Linked DNA regions of Saccharomyces cerevisiae S288C. Changing the gene in region 1 together with any one later gene gives a genetic interaction. Each region holds a gene or a part of one and is shown on either strand. Other genes may lie near its edges.

The links.
Region 2: mutations in OM45 (region 1) and PFS1 together harm fitness more than expected from each alone (negative genetic interaction), as found in Saccharomyces cerevisiae (2 studies listed by BioGRID).

What each region holds. Positions count from the first base shown.
Region 1 is NC_001141.2:90,414-96,400, reverse strand, and holds OM45 (Om45p), read right to left. Parts: upstream 2,783-5,987; coding exon 1,601-2,782; downstream 1-1,600. Other genes in the region: VHS2 (Vhs2p), read left to right, coding at 26-1,336; TMA108 (Tma108p), read left to right, coding at 3,613-5,987.
Region 2 is NC_001140.6:474,127-477,216, reverse strand, and holds PFS1 (Pfs1p), read left to right. Parts: upstream 1-1,876; coding exon 1,877-2,590; downstream 2,591-3,090. Other genes in the region: ubiquitin-binding TORC1 subunit KOG1, read left to right, coding at 1-1,218; SSP1 (Ssp1p), read right to left, coding at 2,758-3,090. UniProt on the Saccharomyces cerevisiae protein: Involved in the pathway that organizes the shaping and sizing of the prospore membrane (PSM) during sporulation. Required to localize MPC54 to all four spindle pole bodies, and localize DON1 and SPO14 to four prospore membranes.

The DNA.
Region 1 (5,987 bases):
AGCAAAGCGAACGTAAACGGCAAAGATGGATACCAGCAACCACAACCAAGACCACGACTCCCACGTGGCGGCACAGAGGGAGAACGACAATAATTATATGCCACCTTCCCCCTCCATGAGCGAGAGTTCTATGATTTTTGAAAGAAATGTAGAGGACCCATCATACCTTTATAAAACGGTGTCAAACAACGCTGCAAACTCTCTCTCTAGGCAGAGCAGCAGGACCAGTTTGTTCAATCATAATAATTCTAGTAATAGGAACTTCCATAACTTAAGCCAGAGATCGTCTGCTGTGAATCTACATTTGCAACCTTCTAGGACTAATGAGTCAATAGCATCGTACCAGACATACAATCCGGATTTTGTTGTGCAGACTCCACTGGATCACCGTCGTACCTTAGAGAATTTCGTCCCTCCTGCATTAGACGCTGGCTGTTCTATTGTAACTGACGACACGACTGGCCTTGATGACGTTGATATGGTTTATTCGAGAAGGCCATCTACCATCGGCCTGGATAGAGCCCTAGGTAGGACAAGAAGTCTTTCGTCACAATCTTTTGATAACGAAACGTCGCCTGCGCATCCAAGATCTCCCAACGACCATGGTTCAAGACTACTAAGGTTTTATTCCTACGCTGACATGTTGTCCGATGACAACAATAACAACGTTAGTAATGCGACATCAACATCATCAACTGCGAACCCCTTGAGAAGACCCCCAATGCAAGGTCACTACTCGTTCTCGTCGTCCCTTTTGAATTCTCCTTCTCATTTGCCTTCCCCCCCATCAGCTTCGGCATCACCACCTCAGCATATGAACTTCACCAACCCTTTCATCATATCTAGACGTTACTCTAACACAACGATCAACAATGCCAATGGGGGAACCAGCGCTGGAAGCACTACGGGGGCCGCACTATCAAGATCGCCATCGAACCAACAGTACTTACTTAAACAACAAAGGTCACCTTCAGGGAGCGCCCGTTCAAGAAGAAACAGCAATAGGCCCGGCAGTGCTGCCAACATTATGATCGGGAAACCTAAATCCAAATTCCATATGGAATCCAGTGGCAGTGAAGGGTTTTCTTCCGAAGAGGAGGACAACACTATGATTGAAAGAGATAAACTCAATCTAAAGCAAAAATTGCAGTCACAACTGGCACAACCACCATCAATTGCCAACATGGTTAACGATAATCACAATAATACTAATAAACACAAGAATACTATTAATAATAACATCAAAAATAGCCCTGCGTTCACAAACTCGAATCCAAGTTCAAAATCAAATTCAAACTCTACAATAACCTCTATGAATCCAGACACAACCAAATAAAGAAAACTGAAGGGCCGCGATTGTTCATTTCTTCAACCTTCTTCTCCTACTCTAAAAATTCATTTAAGTCTCTTTTTTCCATATATATAGATATATAACGGTATTTTATGTATGCACGTATACCCCAATAATGCCACTAATTTACTCCGTTTTCCAATCCATAATCAGCAAAGACCATATGTGATTTCAAATATAAAAAATGAGAAACATGTGAATATGTATATATGTTATGCGGGAACCAACCCTTTACAATTAGCTATCTAACTAGTCCTTTTTCGAGCTCCAGAATTTACCATCACCCTTATCATTCCATTCTTTGAATTTGTTCTTGGCTTCATCGTACTTTTTCAACGCTTCATCGTACTTCTTTTGGGCCTCATCTTTTAAAGCCTGCTTGTCATTGTCGACCTTGGAAGTCCATCCAGACCACCAGTGGCTGCCGTACTGTTTCAAGTCCTCCTTCGCCTTAGATAACGAGTCCATGGCATCGGACACGTTCTTATCCAGTTGTTTCTTTGAATTCTCATAATTCCATCTTAAATCGTCCATTTCGTCCTTGGAAAGTTGAGCGGCTGTTTCACCCCATCCTTCTAAACCTCTGGCTACCCGTTCAGCAATCTGTTGCTCGCTTTGCTCCCCTTTGTTGTAACCAAACCAGCCCTTTTCCTTGATCTTCTTCAGCTCGTCAAGACGTTTTTGCGCCTCGCTTGGCTCTGAAGAAGCATTTCTCTTGGCTTCCTCCAACTCTTCTCTACCAAACTCCTGTGCCGTATCACCCCAGCCTTGGACACTTCTTGCAGCGGCTTCTTCAGTATTAGCGTCACCCGTGTTATTCTTCAACAGGCGTTTCAAAGGATTACTGTTCCTTTCCTGTTGGTCTAGCTTGTCCGAAAGCTCATTAAAGTCTCTGGCTCTCCCGTACCTTTCGTACTCAATGGATGCTCTGTCCAGAGCGGCCTTCTTCTCTCTCATCACCGTGGACAAGAGCTCCTTCTCATTACGATCCACTGCCTCTTCGAAACGCTTCTTAGCAGTATCAAATTCCCCGATGGCTATGGCTTTCCTTCTTTCAGCCTCACTAAACCCCCAATTGAAGATGCTTTGCGAGGAAGAATCCTTGGCTTTTTGGCCTAGCTGCTTGCGTGTCTGAGCATCCTCTTCCGGTGATATCACACGCTTAGTTACCTTTGGAGCCTCTTCCCTAGCCTTTTGAGATACGCCCAGAAGCGCGTCTTTTAACGACAAGGCATCTTCCTTTATGCCTTGCTTTATGTTATGTAGCTTTCCCAACTGTGGGGGTGCTGAACTGCCGTACTCCTGGCCGTTGTAGTAAGCGGAGACGTTGCCCTCTCTTCTCTGACCCTTGGCCTTCTGTTCTCTGACCATGATGCTAGCTGTGATGGCAGCTGCCAATGCTGCACTGCCGACAATTATTCTTGATGACATCCTTATCTGCTTGTTTTATTAAATGATTAACGTTACTGGCCAATCAAAAATACCCTTTATTTCAAGAAAGGGCAAAGAAGCAGGACTTTAGCAAGAACCGTTTCCCCTTATATATACTCCTCTTCAAGGAACTCGACAAAATAAGGGTCAACAAACTCCTCCCTTAACCCACACGGGCCACCGGCGAGCTTGTGCTCCTGCGAATAGCAGTACACTATTGGTTGTTGCAAATCCTGACGATTCACTTTCAAACACCATGCAGGCAGGAGAGTCAAACAAGACTGTTTGCTGTGTTATTGTCACCGCTGATGGTTGTGATGACCACCGCTTACCTATGACGAGGGGCAACGTCTTCACATTTCATGTTTACCACCAATATGCCAATTATTTTAAGAAATCTGCATAACAGAAGGACGCCAGCTGGCCATAGCATTTATAGATTCCTGCATTAATGTAACCGTCCGCACACCGTATGTATCAGCTTGTCAATTATTATATGAAATGTATATATATTTACGAACTTCAATTTTGTCAACATATTTCTGGAACAAGACTGGCTGGAACGGCTCAGCACACACAGGACAGAATATCAAAATTCTCGAGTACTTTGAGAACCCCCTTCAAGTGAGGTACCACCCTTGGTTGTAGTCTTGTATATTAATCCTTCTTTTCTTTAGTATAAATCGATCCTTTCTATTATACAATTCGCCGGTAATTTTTCAGTGAAAAACGAGTTTTGCAGTCAAACCATTCCTGGATGTGCTATACAAAAAAAAGGTCCGAAGACGTGTAAAGGATATATAACGCCAGGTTGATCATCACTAACCATCATGTCTGATAATTTGTTATCTTTAGAGAATCCGGTGGTGCCTAGTCACTATGAGTTGCGTCTAGAAATTGACCCTAAGCAGTCGTCGCCCAATTTCAAAGGATCCGCCATAATCCATTTGAAATTCAATCCGAACTCCACCACCTTAGCTTCTATCGAAGACAGTTTTACCCAGTTCAAGTTACATTCCAAGGATTTGATTGTGTTGTCTGCACATGCCACCATAGGGTCTACTAAGTTTGATCTAAAAATTTCTCAGGACACTGGAAAGCATTTGTCGATTTTCAACTCTGAATCTCCTATTCAATTGTCCAACGATTGCCCTCTGATTTTGTCCGTGCAATACGTGGGTAAAATTCGTGACATAAAAACACATCATGATAAGACTTTTGGTATTTTCAAAACCAATTTTATGGATCGTAAAACCGGTACTGCCAATAATCACGTCGTTGCTACTCACTGCCAACCGTTTTCCGCTAGCAATATTTTCCCATGTATTGACGAGCCTTCAAACAAGTCCACTTTTCAATTGAACATTGCAACGGATGCACAATATAAAGCCGTTTCCAATACTCCTGTAGAGATGGTCGAAGCTTTGGATAGTTCTCAAAAACATTTGGTGAAATTTGCCAAGACACCTTTGATGACTACTTCCGTATTTGGTTTTTCTATTGGTGATTTAGAATTTTTGAAAACGGAAATCAAGTTGGAAGGTGATAGGACTATTCCCGTTTCAATTTATGCACCTTGGGATATTGCTAATGCAGCTTTCACTTTAGATACAGTCCAGAAATATCTACCTTTGTTGGAATCCTATTTTAAATGTCCATACCCTCTGCCAAAGTTAGATTTCGTCCTACTACCATATTTAAGTGACATGGCAATGGAGAACTTTGGTATGATCACCATCCAACTAAACCACCTGCTCATACCACCAAATGCCTTGGCCAATGAAACCGTCAGAGAGCAAGCACAGCAACTCATTGTCCACGAACTCGTTCATCAATGGATGGGCAACTACATATCTTTTGACTCGTGGGAATCTCTTTGGTTTAATGAGTCTTTCGCTACTTGGTTAGCTTGCCACATACTAGAACAGAATGGTGACCTATCCCATTATTGGACCTCGGAACCTTATTTACTACAGCAAGTGGAGCCGACCATGTGCAGAGATGCAGCTGACGTTAATGGAAGAAGCATATTTCAGATTGCGCAACGGAACACTGGCATAGATTCTCAAACCTCCGATATTTTTGATCCTGAGGCATACACAAAGGGTATTATCATGCTGAGGTCCCTGCAATTGGCTACAGGCGAATCTCATCTACAAAAGGGCCTGGAAAGTGTATTTGAAGATACTAAAACATTTCATGCGAGAAGCGTCAAACCAATGGATATATGGAATCATATCGGAAAATTTTTGAAGTCTCAAAATATTACAAACTTTGTTTCATCTTGGACAAGAACGCCAGGCTTACCTGTCGTTAAGGTCGAAGTAGAAGAGAAAGACGGGAAAACGCAAACAAAATTGACTCAACACAGATTTATCAATCAATTATCTACTGAAGAAAAGGATCAGTTAGAAGATGTCCCATATCAGGTACCCTTATTCGGGGTTCTGCCAGATGGTAAAATGGATACTAAAAATGTACTATTGACGGATAGGACCTTAAAGTTCGATTATCCTATCTTAGTAATTAACCATTTAGCCCAAGGTTATTACCGCGTTTCATATGAGTCCGAAGAGTGCTATGCATTGATTAATGATAAAATAACTGAGGAGACGTTATCCGAGATTGACCTTCGGAAGATTTTCTTAGACTTGTCGCAGTTTATTGGAGATGAGGGTTTCCAGAATTCTATTCATTTGCACGGTCTCTTTAAGATACTAAACCATATCGCTTCTCCTTCCACAAAGATTGCATCAAAATATTGGGATCCTCTTTCCAAGGGGTTGGAAGTTCTGCAAACGATCGATCGTGCCAGTTTAACGAGCTCTAAATTACAATCTTTCTTAAAGAAAAAAATTGTCATTCCCCTTTTCAATAAGATTGATTGGCCCCACGGTGAATTTGATAAAAGCACAAACCCTCACGAGTTGAAAGTCATGTCTCAAGTCTTGTTTTTAAATAAAAACTCCGCAAAATGTGCTGAATTGTGTCAAATTTATTTTAAACATCTATTACAGGGCCCACGTTCGAGCGTACCGTTAGAATTAGTGAACTCAATCCTTGTCGTCGTATCGCAACATTGTGCAAACATCAAGCAGTGGAAGAAAATATTCGATTTGGTGAAACGCAGTTCCTGTACTGGTATCACAAACCATGTCATTAATATGTATGACCAAAACAGTAGCGAAACCGCCATGTTGATTCA
Region 2 (3,090 bases), on another chromosome or scaffold:
CAAGAACCACAAATGAAAAAGCAAGAGGCGGATGAACCTGGCAGTGTTGAGTATAATGCTAGATTGTGGAGACGTAACAGAAATGAAACTATTATCCAGGAAACACAGGGGGAGAAAAAATTATCGATTTATGGGAATTGGTCCAAAAAATTGATTAGTTTAAATAACAAAAGTCAACCAAAACTGATGAAGTTTGCCCAGTTTGAAGATCAGCTGATTACTGCAGATGATAGAAGTACCATTACAGTTTTTGATTGGGAGAAAGGAAAGACTTTGTCCAAATTCTCCAATGGTACTCCTTTTGGCACAAAAGTTACTGACCTGAAACTCATTAACGAGGATGACTCCGCCCTTTTATTGACAGGTTCTTCAGACGGTGTTATCAAAATATACAGAGACTACCAAGATGTCGACACCTTTAAAATTGTATCCGCCTGGAGAGGCTTGACCGATATGTTATTGACACCTAGATCCACAGGTTTACTAACCGAATGGTTACAAATAAGAGGATCATTGTTAACAACTGGTGATGTTAAGGTTATCCGTGTCTGGGATGCGCATACAGAAACGGTTGAAGTGGACATTCCTGCAAAAACATCATCTTTAATTACATCCTTGACGGCTGATCAGCTAGCAGGTAATATCTTCGTAGCAGGGTTTGCAGATGGCTCCCTGAGAGTATATGATCGCCGTCTCGATCCAAGAGATTCCATGATACGTCGCTGGAGAGCTGGAAATGATAAGCAGGGAGTTTGGATTAACAATGTTCATTTACAAAGAGGTGGTTACAGAGAATTGGTCAGTGGAGCTACCAATGGTGTTGTAGAGTTATGGGATATAAGGTCCGAAGATCCGGTAGAATCGTTTGTTGATCAAAACGTAACTTCTCAGTACGGTTCGCAACAAAAACCAACGACAATGACGTGCATGCAGGTTCATGAGCATGCTCCGATAATTGCGACAGGGACTAAACAAATAAAGATATGGACGACATCTGGAGATCTTTTGAATTCTTTTAAAAACTCACATAATAATGGCGTAACAAGTACATTAGCCGCTACGGGAATCCCAAAGTCACTGTCCTACTCTTCCACTTCTGATGCATTTTTATCTTCGATGGCTTTCCATCCTCATAGAATGATGATTGCGGCCACCAATTCTCACGATTCTATTGTAAATATCTACAAGTGTGAAGACGAGAGAATTGATTATTTTTGATATGTGCCATTTCTTTTTTTTTCTTTCATTTAGCTGCAAAAGAGATATATATATATATATATATATAATCTATTATATAATAAAAGTCGAGTAAAAAATTGGTCTGATTGTGAATTTAACAGCTGGTCGCAAGTTCTGGAATTTGTTGTTAATTATTGTTTCATGTTCGTATAATAATACGATGTTTAGTAAAGCAGAAAGTTCAGAATATTAAAAGTCTGTTCCAATAGTGTAGCGGCTATCACGTTGCCTTCACACGGCAAAGGTCCCGAGTTCGATCCTCGGTTGGAACATTTTAACATCGATTTTTTTGTTTGTCATAGCCAGACCAATTACGACGTTTAGAGGCATGCACTTTGTTAAATATTTTTTCTCTCTCCTTCGACATATTTTTTTTCCTGTTTACGTAACATTCATCCCCAGTCTTTGTATCATTTTTTTTTTTTTTTGGTGATGCGACAGCAATTCTGGCCGACACAGTCGTTTTCAAAGAAAAACTACCACAAACTATGGAACATAATTGAAAACAAAAACATTTACTTATAACCTACATAATGATTGAAGATACTTCATTGATCTTTACCACCTTCCTCGTTGAAATCTTTTCTACCATAGTCAGTATTTTTGGGAATTTTATAAAAACGCAAATTTTATCGAAATGAATCAAGGTTACACACAGCTTTCCGCACCGGAACTGAAGGAGACTAAAACATCGAAGCTAAATAAAATGAACAACTTTCGAAGCTCTCCGATTGCTGAGATAATTAATAAGATACCACCAGATTGCGGGAAGATACAGAATACAACATTTCCTGAGTTCAATCCAGCGTTAAGAAGACGACAACACGAACAGTGGCCTGCATACGAAAAACCAATAAGAGTTACTGACAGTATGTCACCACAGCTTTCTTCAATCAATTGTTTGCCAAATTTGTATCCCCACGGTACGCTACCATTACCAAACCCTTATTTATCCTATTTAAATCACATTGAAAAAGTTAATTGCCAAGATGTCAAGTTTAGTAACTGGAGTGTTTTACATAATTCGAATAATGGATTTGAAATTCCGACATATTTCAGTCCACGGACAACACAAAACATGCCTTGTTCCGAAAAAGTTGAAAGCTGGCTTGAAAGATTACCAATTTTTGTGGGGTTCGACGGTTATTTATTTACAAACTGCTTTGATTATGAATATATGTTGGATTGGGAAGAGACAGAATTTACATTCGAGAAAACATCATGTATGGAGACGGATTATTCTAAAGCTTTAACCGATACTGATATTATATATATTCAAGAGAAAAAAATTGAAGCGTTGATAAGAAACCAATATCTGAAGGAGTATGAATTTTCTCAAAAAGATTTTTGAATTTTGAAGAAAGCCATTAATATTTAAATGTAATTTTGTGTAGAATTATAATAAATTGATGTTTATGTATAGATCTCTCGAAATATATTTAAGAATATATAAATAATAAATGTACAACAATAAGCATAGAACATGGAATGAGTGTTCAAACTATATTCGTTTGTTTTTTAGATAGGAGTTCTCCAGACGTTTTCATCCAAGTTTTGTTTTGCATCATTTAAAGCTGCAGCAAGAACTTTGCTTTCTTCACTTGCAGACTCCGGTTTGACTTGAGTTTTTTTAATGGAAAGATTCCTCAAACTAGCGGCATTGACATTTACATTTCTTTTCGTGCTTCTTAAAATCAAGGAATCATTTGATTCGAGATTCTCCTTCTTTATTTCAGGTTGCGATATCGATGGAACTTCTGCAGTTGAAGAGCTGATATTTTTTGCCTCTTTCTCTTCTTTTTCCTGAGCGAGAAGTTCAACTAATTGATCGGGCTCAAGTTCTTTCGCAGA